3 linked regions of the Drosophila melanogaster genome follow. The protein of the gene in region 3 purifies or fractionates together with the protein of the main gene of each other region. This does not show direct contact. Each region holds a gene or a part of one and is shown on either strand. Other genes may lie near its edges.

What was found. Proteins that work in one complex are often made in the same cells at the same time.
Region 1: the proteins of pAbp (region 3) and tyf purify together in Drosophila melanogaster (affinity purification with western blotting; 4 studies listed by BioGRID, with this or other methods). This does not show direct contact.
Region 2: the proteins of pAbp (region 3) and eIF4G1 purify together in Drosophila melanogaster (affinity purification with western blotting; 3 studies listed by BioGRID, with this or other methods). This does not show direct contact.

The regions. Positions count from the first base shown.
Region 1 is NC_004354.4:4,114,821-4,121,197, forward strand, and holds the start of tyf (twenty-four), read left to right. Parts: upstream 1-2,729; 5' UTR 2,730-3,075; intron 3,076-3,143; 5' UTR 3,144-3,459; intron 3,460-3,535; 5' UTR 3,536-3,597; coding exon 3,598-4,197; intron 4,198-4,893; exon of another isoform or gene 4,894-5,475; coding exon 5,476-5,604; exon of another isoform or gene 5,605-5,620; intron 5,621-5,681; coding exon 5,682-6,377. Other genes in the region: Tip60 (Tat interactive protein 60kDa), read right to left, coding at 109-109, 182-394, 500-1,724, 1,779-1,905, 1,973-2,032.
Region 2 is NC_004353.4:927,068-933,383, forward strand, and holds the start of eIF4G1 (eukaryotic translation initiation factor 4G1), read right to left. Parts: upstream 3,649-6,316; 5' UTR 3,445-3,648; exon of another isoform or gene 3,215-3,444; intron 3,065-3,214; 5' UTR 3,013-3,064; intron 2,957-3,012; 5' UTR 2,833-2,956; coding exon 2,755-2,832; intron 1,085-2,754; coding exon 326-1,084; intron 1-325.
Region 3 is NT_033778.4:18,138,464-18,147,245, reverse strand, and holds pAbp (poly(A) binding protein), read right to left. Parts: upstream 7,169-8,782; 5' UTR 6,914-7,168; intron 6,470-6,913; exon of another isoform or gene 6,292-6,469; intron 5,872-6,291; exon of another isoform or gene 5,830-5,871; intron 5,759-5,829; 5' UTR 5,740-5,758; coding exon 5,574-5,739; intron 4,445-5,573; exon of another isoform or gene 4,308-4,444; intron 4,247-4,307; exon of another isoform or gene 4,104-4,246; intron 4,068-4,103; exon of another isoform or gene 3,922-4,067; intron 3,834-3,921; coding exon 2,349-3,833; intron 2,280-2,348; coding exon 2,026-2,279; 3' UTR 1,972-2,025; intron 1,905-1,971; 3' UTR 1,011-1,904; downstream 1-1,010. Other genes in the region: Pcl (polycomblike), read right to left, coding at 8,010-8,405, 8,473-8,782.

The DNA.
Region 1 (6,377 bases), on a different chromosome or scaffold from region 3:
ATTGTATGATATAAACTAGTTTATAACATTAAAAACGGAAACTGTAAATGAAAACTACAAGCTACAACGAAGCCAGGATCATCCGATGAAGAATATTGGTAGCGGAAATCTAAAAACAAAAAAAAACGGATTCAAAGCTGTTTAAACTCAGTTATTTATACGGAGAAGATGAGGAGATTACCATTTGGAGCGCTTGGACCAGTCTTTGGGTGTCCAGTGCAGGCATTTCGAGTCGATGCGGATCTTGCGCTTGTCCATTGCTCGCCGGTGTTGCTCGATGATAACCCGGTTGATGCACACGATGTACTGGCCCTTGTAGTAGTTGATCAGGTTCAGGTTCTGCAGCGTTGAGATCACGTCCTCTTTTTTGATGGATGTGCATTCGCAGATGTCGCTGTGAAGAAAAATTTTGGGAGCATGATTAATCTATGTTTCGGCAATGAAGCACAATCTCTGTGGATTGAAAATTGTATTACTTTAAGCTTAGAACTAGCCATACTTTATAGTTATAGTGGGCTTTTCGCCGTCCGTGCTCGGGTTTTGGCTGATAAAGATCTCCAGTATGGTTTGCGCCCAGTACGATCGATAGGACAGCAAACCCAGATCAGACAATGGTTTCTCCGGCGATCCCGTCTTGCCCTCGAACTTGGACAACTCGTAGCTGAACTCAATGAGCAGCTTGCCGTAGCCCTTGCGCTGATACGGAGGCATTGTGAGAATGCAGGCCACGTTGTAGTCCTCTGTGCTCTCCTTCTCCTTGGAGAAGTACCCTACTATGTGGAAGCCGCGCGAGTCGAACTCTGTCATTACGTAGAAGAGAAACGGATCGGTATCATAGTAGAGTGTCTTGTGGTCGAGAAAGAGTTTGGCAAGCAGGCACAAGTTCTGGGCATACACCTTGTTTTTGCGTCCATCGATTTCAAAGAAGGAAATTGTATGTTTGCGATAGATCTCGTTTCCCGGTGGATGCCTAAGATTGCACTTGGACAGGTGCCTCTCCAGGCACTTCCTGCTCTTCCTGTACTTCAGGCAGAACTCGCAGATGTAGATGCAGGGCATTTGACACAGCTCTTGCGGATAGGGTGAGAAATACCAGGGCTTAATGCGATGCCTGCCCAGCTCGATCATCTCCACGTTCTTCATGCGGGTGACCACGTCGTCCTGGTGCGTAACCATGCTGCCTGATTGCCTCGGCGTGGGCGTCTTGCCATCCTGCGATCCATCACCATCATCATTGGCCGCTCCGCTTATTAAACCGTCGCCGGTCACATGCACGGGCGTAGCCGTGGGTGTCTGCGGAGTTGTAGGATGCGGATGTGACTGCTGCTGTTGACTGGTCAGACTGTGGTGTCCATGGGCCGAGCCTCCGTGGTTTTTTCGCTTGCGATTGATGCGTTTCTGAAGGGCTGCGGCCAGATTGTTGCCATTCACAAGCTCTCCCCCACTGCTTGGTGTTCCGGGTGGAGCCACAGAGTTTGGAATGCCAGCAGGGGGAGGAACACTGCCTGATGCACCAGTAGGAGTCTGGGGGATGGCTGCCAGAGCCCCGGAACCAGGGTGTTGCGGTGATGTAGGCCGAGAAACGCTGCCCGCTAGGGAATGGTGGCGCTGTGGCGTGGTCACTCCAGTGCTGGTGCCTGTTTGTGAGCCGTCTCTCCGCGGAAATTGCACCTTTCGCGTGTACAGATCCTCCTCGTTGACCCACTCGTCCAAGCGCTTGTTGACTGCGGATTGGCAGTTATACTAAATATGCTCCCACTGGACGACTTGGTACTCACAGTCCACATAGTGCACGTAAAACTGCCGGCGCCCATCCAACTCCTTGATGCTCACAATCTCCGCTAGTGGCCAGTCGTCCGTTTTGTGCATCCTGACGGGTAAACGACATCCCTCGGTTAGGGCGGCCTGCAAGTTTGCGGTTAAAACCATTAGAATGAACACCCAAAACACGCCAAGGCGTAGCGGAACCCACCGTTGACTCGCATATGGAGGCCACATCGTCGTCGAACTCATATTTGTGGTTAATTTTCATTTGTTTATATTTTACGCGTTTTTTTTTTCCTAAAACAGCAGTATTGCCAGATAGCGAAACGTAAATAACTATCGACCAATCGATTACCGCCACAGTGAATCAGCGGTTTAAAAATGTTGATGACATGGGCAGTGCTGCGCAGCGTCGCGTCGCCTTTTCAAAGTGCTGCACAACACAACAACAATTCCAGAGAGTTTTTCAATTCGGGTTCGGTATTTTTTCTCATGTGCCTACTGTGCAATTAAACAATTTCGCCCGCTTACAAACAACTGTAACATATTAAGCACAACCGTTCGACTCAATTGCAGTTGCTAGAACTTGAGTGCGCAGTTATGTGCTCCCTTCTTTTCAGTTGCCAAACCAAAAAATAAAAACGCTGAGAAGGTCAGAGAAATGTACACAGGCGTAAATTTGTGTGCGTGTGTGTGGGTGCGTACATTCGTGTGCGCTCGTGTGAGTGCGCAGAAAGTTATACAGCTGTCATCGACTGGCGTATTTATCAATAAATGACTACTGTGATCCGCGGAAAACTTCAGTTACTGGGTAATTGTGACCACAACTGCTGGGCAACTGTGCCGCAGTGCCCCAATGCTGACGAGCTGAGCGGGAAATTGGTGAAAAAGCTGTGTCAAAATGACGTGTTTTGCGATAGTGTTGCCACTGACAACAGCCGCAGGGCTGCCAACTCGATGGGCATATCCCACTAATTAGTTGCAAAACGGGCAGGCAATCTCGTGTTGATTAGTAAGATGCAAGCCTAGAGCAAACGCCGATTTAGCAATCTCAACGGCTTGCCCCTACAAACAACAAACAGCATTTGTCAACCCTGGCACGCAGCGTAGTTAGCAACACTGCTTTTTAGCCAAAAAAAAAAAAAAATAAAAAAAATGAATATGGAAAGAGACCAGTGCTTTTTAAAGAAATTCGAAGTCAGTGGGCCGCAAGGGGTCGCCAAAGACTAAACAGACGCACCTGCTACCACCCACCGCCCCTTGTCGCTCGTCCGCATGACCAGAACAACAACAAATGCTGCAAAACACCCAGTCAGTGGTCCAATGTCTCAGTTTCAGTTTTAGTCTCAACTTCATCCCCATTTCCCAATCAATTGCAGATCCGTGCGCACACATTTCCGTATTCCGGTCTGTTTGCGAGCAATCCGCATCCCCGTGCCCAGGAACCTACGTAAATGCCGCGAGCAAAGGTTTGAGCCGGAGGAGAGCTACTGACGACAGGCCTGTCAAGTGCAGCAGGAGTCCAAACTGATGCGCAATAGGTGGGCTCCCCTGTGCCTCAAACCGTCTGGAAGTCGAGAGGAATCGTTAGGAATCGGCGGAACAGCCTGCAGAGCACTTGCAGTCGCGGTGGCAACCACACGGCGGCTGGGCAGCTGGGCTACCTAGAAACATCGCGAAGAGAAGAAACAGTTTGTAAGCAGTTAATGGGAATGCGAGATATACCCGTTTACTAAAACAAACATTCCCCTCTTCTCACACGCCCTAACAGATTCGAGGAATTCGAATGGCATTTGTTTTTCTCCTTCGTTGCATGCCACCAAACGAAAGAAGATGAACAATGAACAAACGCCGTCATCATCGGACACACCGGCGGATCGTGTGGCATCTGGTGGAGCAGCTGCCAAACTGCCAACGATCATACCGGACACGCCCATCGTCTCGATTGCCGCTGGCACGATGAGCGAGAGCACCACGACGACCACCGTCACCAAAACAACGCCGACGCCGTTCCCACAGGAGCAGCTTATGACCATGATGTCAGACCATGTGGCGAAGGCAGACGCGCAGCTTGACGAGGCCTGTAGGAACCAGGGGGCCAAAGACGAGGACAGCCAAGGAGCGGCACCAGTGGCTGCCAACCATGTAGCCACCAGCGGCAGTAGCAGCAGAGGCAATGACCCCAAGAAGTCATCATCCCCTAGTAATAGCCATAGCTCTGGTAACCACGCAGCCACGGCAGACGCTGCCAAAGGATCCGCAGCAGAAGCAGCAGCAGGAGATACGTCCTTCTCGCAGGTCTTTGCCATGCTAAAGGATTCGCCCAGCGCTGAACTGTCGCGACCAAACCGCAGGGTACTCCAGTACGGAGCCACTGCCAAGGGCAAGACCCAGGACGATCAGAATGTCGGCAAGCGACAGAAGAAGAAAAAGGTAAGTGCGCTCTGGCTGAGTTGCATCTTAAGGTGGAAATATAGTGCATGTTAAGCAGAAACCGAGTTAAGATATTGTTTTATTAAGAAAAAGGTATAGTTATGTTTGTTACTCGCAAAATTTCACATTTGTGTACGTTCTGGAGGCTCCAAAGCTCTATGGTGTTTGGACTCCATATCTTATGCATGGCCAGGCTTGAATAGAGCTCTACCAGGGCGACTAAGTTGAGAAACAACTAAGTAAACGTAAAATTTGAAACTAATTTCGATTTTGGGTGGAATTCCAGTATTGGACAGCAAGTTGTCCGATCTTTACGTTACCACCAAAACCAAGGTATACATAAATTAGATATAAATATTGTTTATTTGCACACTAAGCTATAAACTAAAATAGATTCTTACGCTTGCGGTCCATTAAAGTTGTCGAAAATGAAAATGCCGAAATCCCCTTAAAACATGACCTTTGGAAAAAACTTTAAGTGAGCCGATTACTCACTCACAAACACTGTTTTATCGAAAACCGAATTTTATTAAAAAAAAAATAAATATTGACAGTCAAATTGCATCCCCCTAATGAATACATACTCACATACATACATATATGTATGCGAATAGAAGCCAAAGTACCGTTTACGAAGTTAATGGCAAAGAATTCGAAAATGATGTAGAAATAGACCAAGCATACTGTTATCTCGTTCTGACTGACTGGGATTGTGGCTTTCGAAATAGTGCCGTTACATTTGGTCCCATCAAGTAATCGCCACACAGGAACTTCAATTTCTGATCGCAGTCGGTTTTTTGACCAGCGCCTTCGATAATTATTGAAATCAAGACCCCGAATCGGGCAGAAGGAACGGATAAAACCGCAAAGCGTTTGTTTATCTTATAAAAGCATTGGTGACATCCGCGGCATTAACCACGAAAACTTCTCGCCTATTCCCGTTATTATTTCAGTTATTGTTTTTTTTTTTTTTTTCTGTTTTCTTGTGTTCGTGTGCAACACCATATAGTACACATGTGTGTGCGTATGTAGAGCGTTTACTTACTGGAACCGTGTGCCATTTAATACTTCTATTGCTCTGCGGTCGGTACTTCATCAGTTCGCATAAGGAACTCAGAAGGGCATGTGTTTGGAATAAGTGGAGCTCCGAATTCTTTTGTTTTTTTTTTTTTAGGTTAAGTCGCAGCGATTATTGTTTTACACGCATATGTGTTCGTGTTGATGACCCGAAAAATTGCAAAACTAATTGCCAAATATTGTTCTTCGACGCTTTTGCAGACAAAATACGATACCTGGGAAGATAGCGATTTTAATGATCTGGACGACGCATCATTGAAGAAACTTCTCGAAGAGGCCTACTGGTATCGAAATCCTGGCGACAGGAAGAACAAGAGCGAGCGATTTCTGGTAAGTTTTGGCTCATGTATGTGCAACATATATATGTGTGTATAAATATTTCTGCTTCACGTCTTTTACGCCTGCAGCAAATGCTCAAAAAGGCTGAGTACGACGAAGAGATCTCTTATCGTGCCATCAAATCCTGCCTCACAATCAACCCATCCGCACTAACGTCCAGTGCAGCAACAGGCTCGAGCGGCGGGAGCAGCAGCAGTGCAGGGCACAACAGCAGCTATAATTCCACCAATCACCGGTCAACGGATCCCGGCCAGCGGCACAAGCAGGGCGGCTCCCTGCAGGATCTCGTTGAGGCGGCGCACCGCAGCGAACTGGCCACAACCTCGGCGGCGGCGGCAGCAGCAGCGACAGCGGCAGCAACCCAACGTTTCAACTGTGATTACCAGCTGAGTGGTCGCTCCAATCGCCGGCAGCAGCAGCAGCAACAGCAGCACAACCAAAACGCCACCTCCTCCGCATCCGCATCCAAAAAGATCAAGAACTTAAACGTCTCGGGCCGGCAGCGCGAAGGAGGCAGCCTGCCCAGCAGTGTTAACTTTGAGCCGGCATCGTCTGCCATGGAAGCCAAGCAGAATAAGCAACAGGCTCAGCCTTCGACAGAAGCTGCAGGTGGCTCGTTTTCGGGGTCGGTCGGTAACAAGCACCACCACCGCAGCAGCACCGGCAGTTGCAGCAGCCTGATAACTCAATCGCGCGATACGGAGGCAAACAATCAGTTCGACTTGGACATGGACGATGCGACGGGTGTTGGTGCCAGCGCCGTT
Region 2 (6,316 bases), on a different chromosome or scaffold from region 3:
TTCCAAAATGTTTAAATGATTTGTATTTCTATATTTTTTCTTCCCCATTTTTTTCGCCTCCAACTAGCTAGTCAAGGAACTCGACTATAGCGGGTTTCTTGGTTTCTTTACATTACATTAGGCACTGTGAGTACAATATAAAAGTATACATATATTCACATTATAAGAAAAACTGCTCATTAAATAAAAAATCGTATTGATATTTAATAAATTTTGGGACCTAAAGTATTTAAAAACTAATTATTAAAAAAAAGGGAGGTGAAATGAAGTTAAGAATTATTTAAAATGAATCTCTTCCTAAAGTCACAGAATTTGCAAGGTTTACCTCTGCTGTAGATGCCGGGTAACTATTATTTGATAACAAACTACTGTTATTGAAATCATACTTTTTACTAGTATTAACACAATTGACGCTAACGCCAACGATATTCTTTTCGTGCATGTAGCTTGTGCCTGCTGTAGTTGTTCCAGCTATTCCCATAGATGTTCCTATTTGCGCATTAGGCAATACTATTTGGTTGTTAATACTGACTCCAGTACAAGAACTTTTTTCACTTCCGACTCCGACGATGGACTTATTTGATACTACTGACCCACTGATGTTGCCATTTTGTTTAATGTCCTGTACATTTAGAAAGCAAACATTTCCATCTAGACTTCCAGTTAATTTTCGGTAACTGGATATGTTATAAATGGCAGTCGAATTCATATCACCCGAATTCAGTTGTCTACTATTTACTGTCAATATGCTTGAACCGTTACAGATAACCGATGACTGGGCTCTAACTGGTTCAGACGCAGATAAGCTTCTATTTACAACGTTTGTATAGCTTTGTTGATGCTGCTGTGTTTGCTGTGGGTGATGGATTGGTGGATGCTGCTGATTCGTCAAGTGTGGGGACTGTTGAGCGATCTGCGCTGATGCCTTAAGAATGGAGACCACATTGTATGCCTTATTTATCTGAAACTGAGGCTGAGCAGTGGGATGGCTATGCTGCGGTTGAAGAGGCTGATGAAGAGATTGTGGCTTTGAAGTTGGCACCTGTTGATCATACTTTTTGGTCTTTTTATTGGCTGGCAAAATCTACAACAGATCACAAGAGTGGGAACATTTTCGGACTGTAAAATTGATTTAACAATGATTAAAAAAAAATGTTGCCGAATATATAAGTTATAAAAACTATTAGATAATTGGTTAATCCTACTTTATTGCACTTAAACAAAGTATTAAAAAAACCAAAACAAACCCATTTAAAAATAAAATGAAACTGAGAAATCAAGAATCGGAATTTTGAGTAGTATTACACTTCTGCACTGTGAAATTTGAATATTATACTTATGCAGATTTTTTAATACTTTTCAGCCTCAAATTTTGTGATAAATAAATCCAGAATTAACAAATATATATAAAACATGCATTGGGTTTGATAATTTTATTAGGGTTTAGAGTTTTTGTCCTACGTCCCCTATGGACAAATAATGTTTATGGGATTTAGCTGTCTAACACAGTTCAAATGATAGATTACAAGATTAATTAATTAATAAAAAAAAAGTTGTGCGTACAAAATAAGAACACTAAATGATTAAAAACAATTAAACTATTATTTATTTTGTTATAGCTTCATTTAATTTTCCGACTGTTGCTCCTTAGTCGTCGCCGGCATGTTGACAATTAGCCTTAAAACCAAAGTTATACGCGGTCAAAAAACGGTGTATATCAAGTTGTCATTCAGAAATAAAAAGTATGAAGCTATTATCTTCTGGACTATTTTATATTTATTTTACTCGGCTGCTGATACTGATAAAGAATATATATATAATTTATATGGTCCCAAATATCTCTTTTACTGCGATTTAAATATATGCCTTATATCATTAAGCCCTTCAAAAGGACATCACTATAAAATACAATATCAAGTTGACATTTTATGAATAAAAACAACGAAACTATTATATTAGGGACTATTATATATGGACTGATTCTGTGACTTGGATATGTGAAATCATTAATCCTTTAAATCAATATAATAAAATACATTTCGAATATTTTTTTTCCCTTGGATAGATTAATCACAATGCGTTTTGAGTTTAGCTTTAAAATTACGTTGCTGAGTGTCTGCCAGTTACCAACAAACCAGATTCAGCATCCATTTTTGGAGCCACCGTTGAAATAAAAATTTTTTTAATTAATATTTTTACCGATAAAAACTATATGATTTATGTATGTTTGGAAAAACGCGGTTTTTTATAGTTTAGGTTTTAAATAAAGTACTTCATACCATGCCCGGAAGAGCTTCATTTATGAATTATGTAGCTTTACAGGACTAGAACAATTATTAGTATTCAATCAAGTTCGTTAAAAAAATTTTTAATTTTTTAATTCATTTAGTAAGTAACTTAAATAATTGTAATCGCAAACATATATTTTATAAATTTTTTAATTGAATTATATACCTTTTATACAAACCGCAATATTTATAAAACAAACATATAAAAAAATTCCACAAAAATAGCATTTTCTTTTTAAACTTTGCTGTTATTGTACGAGAAGTGTGATACTATCTTAATAGATTGTTTACATTGACTACAGCAGGCAAACTTATAAAAAATAGGTTTTAGCTCTTTTCGGAACTAGGAAAACATATTTATTTAACGAACTAATTTAAAACAATTGCAAGGAAAGTAATACAGCAAATAATGTCAAAATGTATATATGTAAATAATTTTGGAGATGTTATTTTTATATCGACTTACCATATTTTGTGCTGAATGGGGCTGCATGGCTTTATCTATATCTGATTGTGTTGGTAAAGTTGGTATAGCCTGTTGCATTACGTATGTGTATTCCTAGAGTTAGCTCTGTAGGAAATCGCCAAACGGTTAGATTTACCGTTTCATAGACGATTTCTGTGGTGATTTTGGACCCACAAATACGACGTCATTCAATCATTTGATTCTTTAATGAATATTAATGAATATTAATTGTCCACGTTTCAGTTCTGCATATTTTACCTGGAAATATATTGATATACAGCTACCAGAGAGGTCTCTGAAATTAAAAGAACTGACACGTATAAAATCATTAAATATCACAAAAGATTTCACCCAAATGTTTCAAAAATATAAAGTAGACATTTTGTAATTTATTAAGTCTAGAGCTGAAGCCCAGAGATAATTTCTATTAAACATTTGCCAATCCATCCTGGAGCCTTACTTATTTGCCGACGTTGCCGTTGTGACTTTGGAGATTTCGTTCTCACAATCACAATGGTGCATATGGTGAAAACGTGCCACGAATTCCATCGTTTACATCATTTTTAAAAAGTTAAGACACATTTCAGAATGTTAGTGGTAAAATCTTTTTTCCCTTCACTGTGCACAGTAAACTTGCAAAGTATCATGTAATATTTGTTGCCCAGTGCTCATTATTAACCATCAATTTACCTGAGCAAATGTTTGTATGTGCCTATCCGACGTGATTATGTACAAAAAATACAAATGTTAAGAATTCCACTTTAAGTGTATTTTAAAAATGTATTTATTTATAAAAATGAAGCAGTAATTCCAGCTTTATCTTTACATTCAAAAACTATTTTTTAATAATTTCCACATGCAATGTGTTCTGTTCATACGAACAGAGTTGCATTTATTATTTGAAACATCGATAGCACACAAGAAATAGTGATAACTGAAGAATATCATTATCAACGATAGTTAGGTCACATTTTTAAACGCTTCATCATTAATAATTTAATTTTTTGCTAACCATAAGTTTTTAAAAATAAAAAAAAAATCATATTTCAATGTTAATTATTTACTAAAACTACTTCATAATACGTTTATTCTATTGAGGTTTGCCAAAATTATAATAATGATTGTACATGCTATGCCAGCGTTCAATTCCTGATAATGAGCCCTTTCCGCAACATGGCTAAATAGATCATTATATCTAAGAATACAACATATGGGCAACTTTAAAACAAAATGTTAATTTCATCGTAATTAGGGTTTCTTGAACGTAAAATATAATTAGTTAATTATGGCCAAAATAAGACCCTTTCACACTGACTAAAATACATATGACAATAAAGAAATTGGTAAAAAACGATTCTATATTACATCAAAATATCGATAAATAAAAGAATTTAAATCAAAACAAAAATAATCCGTATTCAGACCCAATTATTTTATATTATTATTATATATTTTTTTTTTTTGGCACGGGTCCAACGGCGACACCTCCCGACCAACCGAACGAGGGGCGCTGCCGTGTATCGTACGCCTCGATTAGCGAGAGGATAGACGCGATATAAAAAAGAGAACAGGATCGAGGAAATGAATATAATATAAAATAACTATATTAAATATTACTGTTAGTAGGATCTAATCATAAAATAAAAAAAGGTAAAATCAATTGCTTTGTGAGCGGCAGAGAGTCAAGATTACAGATATTAGGATAAAGTCTATTATAATCAGAACATAATACTCTGTAAGGGTCACGCAACTCATAGTTAGATCTACAATGATTTAAAATAAGGAACTGAGAACTGAAATAAGGAACTGAGAACTACTACTGAGAACTACTTCGAACTGAGAAGTTAAGCCGACTAATCAAGTCAGAACTCTTAACATCCCCACGAATAAGCTTACAAATAAAGACTGTTCCAAGCATAGTTCTACCAAAGACACTAGAATAACAAGATGCGTAGCGGCCATACATTGGTTTGGCACTATGCAGCCAATTTTTTAGTGACGGCCAAAATTGCTCTCTTTCCGCTCGCTCCCGCTGAGAGCATAAGAAATCTAAAAATAGAATTTGCTTGCTTGTGTGAGTAAAAACAAGAGACGAGAACGCATATATGTGTGCGTGTTGTGCTAGAAGACGATTTTCGGACCGAAATCAATTCTGATCGAAAAAACGAATTTACATTGTACATATTAGGGTAGTTTTTGCCAATTTCGTAGCAATATGATAAAATAAAATAATTTTTAACTGACTATTATCATTTTAAAGCTTTTTAAATTTGTTTGTTAAAATCGCCGCTCGAATTAGCTACCGTTTACACATTTATATTTATGTTTAATTCTAATTTGTCTCTCATCTGACAATTTTTTAAGAAAGCGAAATATTTTTTTTTTTAAACACTTTTAATGTTAATGTTACATCATATAAAGTCAAATGACATAATAAATATAGTAAATAATTAAATATGATAACTGTTTATTGCAAAAGTCATATCAAAGACACTAGAATTATTCTAGTGTCTTTGCTTTGTTCATATCTTGAAGCACGAAGTACGGACACAAGCACTCAACAATCATTGCCTTATTAATTTTTCACACGCCGCAAGATGAATACTCTAATGACAAATATTCTTATATAAAGTCATTTTTGAAATTTATTTTTGTGATAATATGTACATAGATTTGGCTATTTCTAATCTATTTTCATATAATAATAACGTTAAGGCAATGCAAAACAAGAATTTTTCGCATGGTGCCAATTGATCAAAAATAATATAGATTTAAAGTCAAAGAACTTCTAAGGTGAAGGGCATATTTTGTGAAATTTACAATGCATGAGCGAGCATACGTGTGCACACATACAGTTGTCTGCTATCACTTTATGCGATGAAAAGAGCTGTTCGCTGTAGCACTCTCCGCTCTCTCGCTCTCTAACAAAAATTCGAGAGAGCCTGGAGCCACCTCTAGAGCCACGGCGAAAAAATCGTGTGCCAAAAAATCGTATGGCGTTACGCATCTTGTTATTCTAGTGTCTTTGGTTCTACGGTTAGCTAGGGACGGTAAATTAAATTAACGTAGTGTACTGGAATAAGGAGGTAATATACGGTTTGCATCCCACTTTAGGCGCCGCAAGCAAAACGTAATAAGTTTTTTTGGACCGATTCAATGCGGTCCGAGTGGACTGCGTATTGTGGACTCCAAACAGGTGATAGTGATCCGTACTCGAGAATCGGACGGACTAACGAAATAAATAAGGTTTTAGTCAATTAAGGATCATCAAATTCCTTAGACCACCTTTTTATAAAACCATGCACACCCCTGGCCTTATTGACAATAGACGAAATATGGTCAGAAAATTTTAGTTTAGGGTCCAGAAGACCACCAAGATCATCAACCCGTGTTATTCTCTCCAAAGAGTGCTCTTTGGGTGGGTGCCCACTTAGAGCGTAAGTCATAACGTTACACTTGGAGCCATTTAAGTCTAATACGTTATCACGGCACCATATTCGAAATCTGTCTAGATCGGATTGTAAGTCCAAATGGCACGAAGTGTCCTTGTGCTGAAGGCATA
Region 3 (8,782 bases):
ATATGGCATCTCATCTCATATGAAAGCAATATCATATATGTATGTTAATATTAAATAGATATTAAACATAAAAATCCATCCCACCCACATTCCGCTGAAAAATGAAAACACTCGCTTTTGCCGAAGTGGAATTTTATTGTAATTAAATTTGTTGGGTGTACAAAGGTATGTTTTAAGGACTTTCTCTCTGCATTTATTACAATTTCTTCAAATGGTTTTAATTGCTGGGCTTTTGCTTCGAAGACGGGCAATCAAGTTTCAAGAATCCTATTTTCTTTAATCATACAAATTATGTTTTATTTCGCTTTAATATATAAGGATACATATATATATCTGCTATATATAGAAGTGTGTTGACTTGCGTATATTTCGTGAAAAGTAAAAGTTTTCTTCTTCGCAATTTCCCTTGAACTAACATTCCAATTCGGGTTTTGGTTATGTTTTTTTTTTCTGTTTTACTCTCATTATTTTGTTTGTTTGTTTTTTTTAAATAATTTTGCATTTTCTGCATACATGTGGTTTTGTGTTTTGCAATTTTTTCAATGATTTTTCCTTGGGTTTTTATTTGTTTTTAGTTTTCGATTTGTTTAATAAAAAAATATGTATTTCACTGCCCAGAGCGAAAGCCATTTCTTACTTCCGCTTGCGTTAATATATCATTTTATGTATGTATGGTGTAAAAACATCATTTACTGGTAAAACTCTCGATATCCTTTGTAACAGAAATCGGAACGCAAATGAAATCGAGGCGACTTACCAGCTCCTTCTCATTAAATACATATATGTTCTTGCAAATGTTTATAAATGTATGCATGTTTTTCCTTCTCTCGGATAATAGTGTAATCATAAAAATCCTGTCTGCTTTTTTGTTGTTTATTAATATGCTTCATAAGTTGTTTACGCTTTAGCGCTTTTCATGTGTTTCTTGTATTTCTCATATATGTTGTGGTTGTTTAATATGTGTGTTGCTGTGTGTGTGTTTTTGTGTTTATATATATTATTTTTTTTTTGCTGTTTTTACATAGGTTTTGCCATTTTTTTGTAGTTTTTTCGATTTATGTTTTGTTTTCATTTGTCAACATATTTTTTCAGCTGTTGGTATTCTGTATTTTCTCTCTTTTTTCAAAGTAGCAAAAACTTGACTCTCATATTCTTGCGGTTTTCTTTTTCTTTCTTTCTTTCTATTCTTCTGTTCTCTGCACAGTTTGCTTTCCATTTTTTCGTTTTTATTTTAACTCTTTTGCAATTTTTTTGTTTTTTCTTTGCTTTTTTAAAAGTGTATGGTTGTCGCGTTTCTTTTTCTAAACAAAGCTTTCTTAAAGTTTGAATTTGAGAAAAAAGAATTGAAAAAAATTACATATCGCTTTCGTGTTTGTTGTTGTTTGAAAGTGTGGATGGAAAAAGTGTACGAAAAACTCAATATGTATGTAACACTAGAAACTTCTTTAAAATTTTTAAAACACAATTTCAATACTTGCAAGAAGCGGTTTACATGTATGCTTTGCTTTAATCTGTTTATTTTGCAATGGTTTTTTGGTGTTTTCATTATACGCATACAAAATAATATCGATCCAGTTAAAGCAATAACGAAATTTTTTTCATTTCACATTTTTCCGTTTTTTTTTTTAATTAACATGTTTATGTAAAAAAAAAGAATTTATAAGTGGACTGCAGAATTTGATTGCGTGACTTTCTTCTTTTGCTTCGTGTACTTGCGTAAATGCGTTCGAAATTAAATGATTGAAATTGCTTTTGTTGATGTTTCTGGGATTAGAAAAGAAAAAGCCGTAGATTTTTCGCTTTGTTTTTCTGTGTTAATTGTGTGTCCTTGGCAATCCTCCCCTGCGCAAAGCATCAGTGAATGCGAATTTTTGTTGTTCATGTATTGAAAGATTAGTGGAAAACTGCAAGGACAAAAGAGAGGCGAGTTTAGACAGCTTGAACTTTTCGGAAAATTTGTAGACTACTTACTTTTTGGGTGTAAAGTGTTCTTGTAAAATGTTCATACGCTTGAGCTGTTCGAGCTTAGTTGGCGGGCTCGGTGACGCGGTGCACCTGAAGCACGGCCACAGCCTCCTCCACCTTGGCCTTAAGGGCCTCCTGATCCTCGATCATGTGCAAGAGCTCAGAGTTTTCGATCTCCAACAACATGCCGGTGATCTTACCAGCCAAATTGGCGTGCATATGCTCAATCATCGGATACAGACGCTCGCCCAGGATCTGTTTCTGCTCCTGCGGCTTGGCGTTGGCCAGCAACGAGGCAATGAGCTTCTCAGAATCTGCAAGAAAAATAGCAATGGTGCCATTAGTGACAAATTGTGCATATTTTCAGTCGACCTAAAACTTACTCTTTCCTTGCAATTGCTGTGGAATTGGCTGGGTCTGATGCAACTGTGGCACTGGAGGATTGCGCATGTTTGAGGTGTACTTATAGTTGGAAGTACGCTGCTGGGCACCGCCAGCGATTTGGGCTCCGGGGATCTGCATGTTGGGTGCTGCAGTTTGCTGGCCAGTAATAGCGCGTGCTCCAGTGTTGCGCATGTTGTTAGCCGCAGCAGCGGCGGCATGTGTGCCCTGCACCTGAGGCTGTGCCCCGCGAGCGCCAGCAGCAGCCGAACGGAACTGAGTGGGCACCGCACCGGCTGTGCCCTGGAAGCCACCAGCAGCGGCAGCTCCGGCCTGGACACCCTGTATGGCTGCTGGGGGACGCACCTGGGGCACCCAGCGGGGTGTGTTTCTCATCTGAGTGGCCACCTGGGAACCGAAGAAACGCTGATTTGACGGAAGGGTCGGCACAAAGAAGCCGCTAGCCGCGTTGGGCTGGTAGATCTGTCCCAGCTGCTGCATACGCATGCCGGTCATGTGACGCATGTACTGCGAGGCGAGATGAGCCTTGCGCTCCTCCTTCCTTTGGGCCAAAGCAACGTACAACGGCTTACTGCCGACGACGCGACCGTTCAGCTCGGTGACGGCGCAGGTAGCCTCGCTTGCGGCATTGAAGCACACGAAGCCGAATCCCTTGGAGCGACCCTCCTCATCGGTCATGACCTTGGCCGATGTGATGTTGCCGTATGGAGAGAACGCGATGCGCAGACGATCGTCATCGATTGTGTCGTCCAGGTTCTTAACGTACAAGTTAACGCCGAACACAGACTCGTGACGCTTCTGCTTCAGTTCCTCGAACTTGCGCTTCAGCTCCTGCTGGCGTTCGGCCTTCTTCTGGGCACGAGCCACGTACAGGGACTTGCCCTCTCCCATGTCCTTGCCATTGAGAGCCTGAACGGCCGCCTCAGCAGCCTCTGTTGTCTCGAATGCAACGAATCCGAAGCCCTTGCTCTTGCCATCCTCCTTGGACATGACCTTGTAGCTGGTTATCTTGCCGTAGGGCTCAAAGAATTCCTTCAGTTTTTCATCGTCGAAATCCTCAGTGAAGTTCTTCACATATACATTGGTGAAGAGCTTAGCCTTCTCGCCCAGCTCCTTCTCGCGCTCCTTGCGCGGGATGAACTTACCCACGTAGACCTTCTTGCCGTTGAGCAACATGCCATTGACTTTGTCGATGGACGTGTTTGCGGCCTCCTCGGTCTCGAAGTGGACGAATCCATAGCCCTTTGAGTTGCCCTTTTCATCGGTGGCTACCTTGCAGCTTAAAATGTTGCCGAAGGCGGAGAAAGTGTCGTAGATTGCCTTGTTGTCGATGGCCCTATCTAAGTTCTTGATGAACACGTTGCCCACACCTGAGCGACGAAGAGAAGGATCACGCTGAGACCACATAATGCGAATGGGCTTGTTGCGAACCAGGTCAAAGTTCATGGTGTCCAAAGCACGCTCAGCTGTTGATGAAAATCGGGAAAACATTTGGTTACTACCGACACGATTTGGGTATATCAAGATCATTATAAGTTGAAGGGGCTTAAATAACAATGTGACTCTTCAACTTCTGCACTGGCCATGAGCAAAAGCAGCGCAGTGCATGGTAAGTCAAGTCTGATCTTTTATCTGGCAACTATGAATCTTAGTCGTGTCAAAAAGGGTTGAATCTGACCAACCAATGGGTAGGAGTTGCTAGATGTCTAAATACAAGGACAATCTTATCAGTCTAATCATGTGATACATTGAGTGTTTGTTATGCAGATGGTATGCAAAACCCATCAGCATGGTAAGTCGCATTGCTTTCTCTGGCAACTATGAATCTTAGTCGTGTCAAAATGGGTTAAATCTGACCAACCAATGGGTAGAAGTTGCTAGAAGCTTAGATAAGAAAGGGCATAATCCTTCGAGTCTAATCATATGATGTATTATTTAGTGTTTGTTATGCTTCTACTTCTGTGGATGGCATAGATCAGCCATCTACATGGTAAGTTGCATTGCTTTCTCTGGCAACATTGAATCTTAGTCGTGTCAAAAAGAGATAAATCTGACCAACCAATGGGTAGGAGTTGCGAGATATGAATCGAAAAAAGAAAAACATTTAGGGTGTTACTAGTCTAGAACGAGATGGTATCATTTTTGAAAGGTCTGTTTTTCCAACCTAACCTTAACAGCTAGAGTTCAAGAAACTTGCTGGAATGCGACAGACTTTCACACGCAGCGTAATCATCACCAACCGCCAGCTTTGTGCCATTGTGCGCTTAATTGAATAAACAAATGTAAGCGAACAACGGGAATCGAAGAAGCACCAACTATGCGCAGTGAAAGTTTTGTTTTCGTTTTTTGTAAAAACAAGATTTTGATGGTTAAAAGAGAGGCCGAAAAGCAGTTCACTGACATGTCAAGAATTTGGAAGTGTTGATGGATGGAATGCGGAGAGTATGGAAGATATGAGAAAGTGAAAGCAAAACAAAAGTTGGAGGCAGTACGAAAACTAAAGAGCGAACGTGCGGAAACTCAGTTAATGGAATATAACCTAAAATAGATGAAGGCCAAAAAGAAATGGTCCAAACAACAATGAACACATGTTTTTGCGCGTCGGCGTGTGCGTGCGCGCAAGTTTGCCGCTTGGAAACAACACACATCACACGAATAAAACGAGAAGAACGGGCAAGGAAACAATGAAACCACCAATGGGCGGGGCTGCGATAAGCAGTTTGGGCAGTATGGAACCATATTATTCCATCATAATTGCAATTTTGTGCGAAATTGAGACGGAAATTTCTAGGCGAACAGTTGATGAGTGCCACGAGCCAGCTGTTTAGCCCCCATCATCCCCCCGCACAAATCGTATACATCCAGAATAACTGGAACTGATATAATCATGTGTGTGTGTGTACACACTGGCGGGAATTGAGTGCGTGTGTGTGTGCGCGACGAGATTAACGTAAGCAGTGCACTGTGGAACAAGTTATGAAACACTTGGAAGCCGTTTATCTGGTCTCCTATGAAAGACATCTTTCAATAAAGTCCAGTTTGGACTTGCGTTTAGCCCCACTGTATGACATGCGCTAGTGTGCGTGCGTGTGTGAGTAAGCGAGTGCAAAACTGCACACGTGTTTTCTTTGTTTCGCGCGGAAGGGGGCTACTTTTGCGGGCAGTAAGACTAAAAAAATTACACTACTTTTGCGGGGATTACTCACCATCGGCTGGCTGCTGGAAGTTGACGTAGGCATAGCCCAACGAGCGACGGGTAATCACATCGCGGCAGACACGAATGGACAGCACTGGACCAGCAGACGAGAACTTGTCAAAAAGTCCCGATTCGTTGACGTCCTGTGGGAGATCACCGACGTATAGAGAAGCCATATTTGGTGATCAGGTCTACCTGCAATTTTTAACAATTAATTTCCACTTTTTTGACACTGAATTTTGGGTTTTTTCTTAATCTTTACGGACCGGATGGATTCGACCAGGCAGGCGGTGAAATAGAAAGAAAAAAAGCGGCGTGGCTTTCGGTCTTCTATTCGTCTCTCTGTCTGTGTGTCTGGGTGGCAACACTGGTACATGTGACAGTCGGTAGACATGGCAACGTTGGCATTTGCTTTGTTGTTGCTCTTTGCTCTCCCCTTTTATTTCTCTTCGTGTTGGAAAATTTCCACACAGACACAAAGATAGACACGCGTTTGCCTGATCGAATTTTGGGGAATTCTTTGATTTTCTCGAAAATATGCGACAACTAGTTCCTAGACCACTATTTTGCGGGCAATCTGGCGTTTATAGACGCCATCTTTGAGCGAAGAACGACCGCAAACAAAGCAAATTTCGATGGGAAAGGAAAATTTCCCTATTCGCTTTGTCGTGCGTTGCGCCCTCTCACTCTCTACACCATTGTAACCAATAGCTTTACACTGTACTTACTTCTCAAACACGCTCGATTTTTTTTGCTACTTTTTACAATTTTTTTTGTTACGTTTTTGTGTTTTAATATTTTTTTTTATTTTTTATATGTTTTTTCTTCACAAAAAATATGTGATAAGCCGTGTGCTGAAAGCGAATCCACGACCGCTCACGTAAACGGACTCTACACGACTCATAGAGAGGAGATTCGTTAGCGATGACCCCACAAAGTATCGATTAAATCCCACTGCACAATGCTGCCACATAGGGTTAGAGACAAATAAATGTCACTAAAAAATCCGTGAGGACAATTTACTAATTACGAAGCATTATTTTGAATTTCAAAAAAGCCAGCCATCACACATAAAAAATTTTTATATTTAGCTAATTCCCGAAACATGAAATACTTGTGCATTTTCAGGGGTTCTTTGGTAACTCTGCTTCATTTATGTTCTGATATTTTCGCCAATGTCCTTGAATACTTTGTCTCATAAAACACAATCCAAAATTAGGAATGCAGTTTTTTTTTCTTTTAAAAATGAGCGTAGACTTTTAGAAAATGATTTTTTGGCACTGCACAGATATTAGCGTATGCTCCGAAAACCGAATCCCATCTTTGTAATTCCCCACTGTGCGAACTTACCTAAATCAGAGAATAAAGCGATGAGGCTGCAAGTCGACACTCCGAGAAGTGCTTGAGTACTTCTTTTCGTTCTCGATGGAAATCGGCACTACAGAGATTGAAGAATTTTTTAAGTTTTTTTTTTGTGTTTTTGTTTTTACGAAATAGACCACATTCAAGGATGGCTGAGGATAATTTTTTTTTTCTTTTTCCCGTTTTGAACGTCTGGTGCATGTGCCCTATCTGGCGATCGAGTACCTAATGAAGCGGTGTGAGGCGTCGGTGCCTGACAAGCTTCAAAGCGAAGTGTCACTTTGGGCGCCTACTGGCGTGTCCTGAGTAAAATCTTAAAAGATTTGACATTTCGGAAACATTTATTTGGGCATTATATACTTCATTAAACATATTTCGATCTGGTTTGGCCAAACATTTACTTGGCTTGAGAATTAGTTTGCTTTCAACTCAATTTTGATTTTTCGTAGCATTTAATAGTTAAACATAAAACGTACTGGCTTAATTCATTATTGTGTAGTTTTGCCTAGACTATGGGTGAAAATTATTGAACTAGTCCTACATTTTATTAAATTTGTGTGTATGTATGTATATCAATTGTTTTTTTTTTGTATGCATGACATGATTTGTGAGTTTTCCCATTTGAAGGTATATTTTTCAAAAACATACATGGGCGTGGCGTATCGCTAAAGTACAGTACTGAACTTAACTGAATTGTTCTCATTATTTAATACGTTTTCATTCATCAGCGAATTTTACATAGGCTTCCAGATTAATCTTGTAATACTTTTACCAATTTTGTGAAAACTTATTTATGTTCTGCTGCAACACTTAACTGCCATTGCACAATTATAACCTGTATTCAGTTGCTTTTTGCTTTTTTTTCGTTTTTTTTTTTTACAATTTAACATTTTATCGCTTTAATGCTGAACCAATATTTTGAACAATCTTTTTCTATTTTGGCAGTGGGTTGGTAATAAACTTTTAAACATTAACAAATAAAGAGGCCCGTAGTTGGCAGCGTTCATTAATACATAATAACGAAAAGAAATGATAATGGAAATGAAGAATATAAAATTCATAATGAGTCGGTATGCCAAAGGGTTCAATTTCCAAGCAATCCAATCGCCGTTGTCGCTGTATCTCCGCCCCACTCCACCAGGTACTGGACCTGTCCATTTCCCATGCGCCGCTTGGCCCGAATGGCAAAGGGCTCACCAGCATCTATGCGATTCATAGCGCCACCAAAGTACTTGTTCACCGACTGCTTCAAGTCCAGCATGGAATGTCCTGGGGCTCCAATGCCGTTGCTGCTGCTGCTGGTTGCCGTCGAGCTGGTGGAGTTCCGGCGGCTTTGGCTGGGTGACTGCTTCTGTGGTCGCTGGCGCAACAGGCGCCCATGTGTCGGCTTTCCCATTGGCGGCGCGGGTGGCTGCAGATCTTTGGCATAGATAGGAAGGTAGTGGCTGGGTATGGGATTGATGGTGGTGGTGCTGATGACCTATTAAGTGGAAACGAAAAAAACATCTCAAACATTATAGTTACATTGTTGTTAGTTAAACTCTTACCTCAATGGCCGTGGTCAGGCGGCGAGTGCGTCGTCTGCGCACTTCCTGATTGGGCCCTATCGTAATGTCTTTGGCACTCAGTCTTCGCTTGATGGTGCGCACCATGCGCGGCTGCTCCTTGGAGGTGCCCTTAAGCTTGAAAATGCTGTTTATGATGCCATTTACTCCGACTCCAGTTCCCACAGAAATACTTCGTCCCTGCGACGCCTTTTTGGGAGTGGCCATAAGGAATGGATTGTTGCGTCCCAAAAAGTTGACCGGCGGTGGTATGATGAGGTCCAACGAACTGGTTCCCCGACTGCTGCTTGAA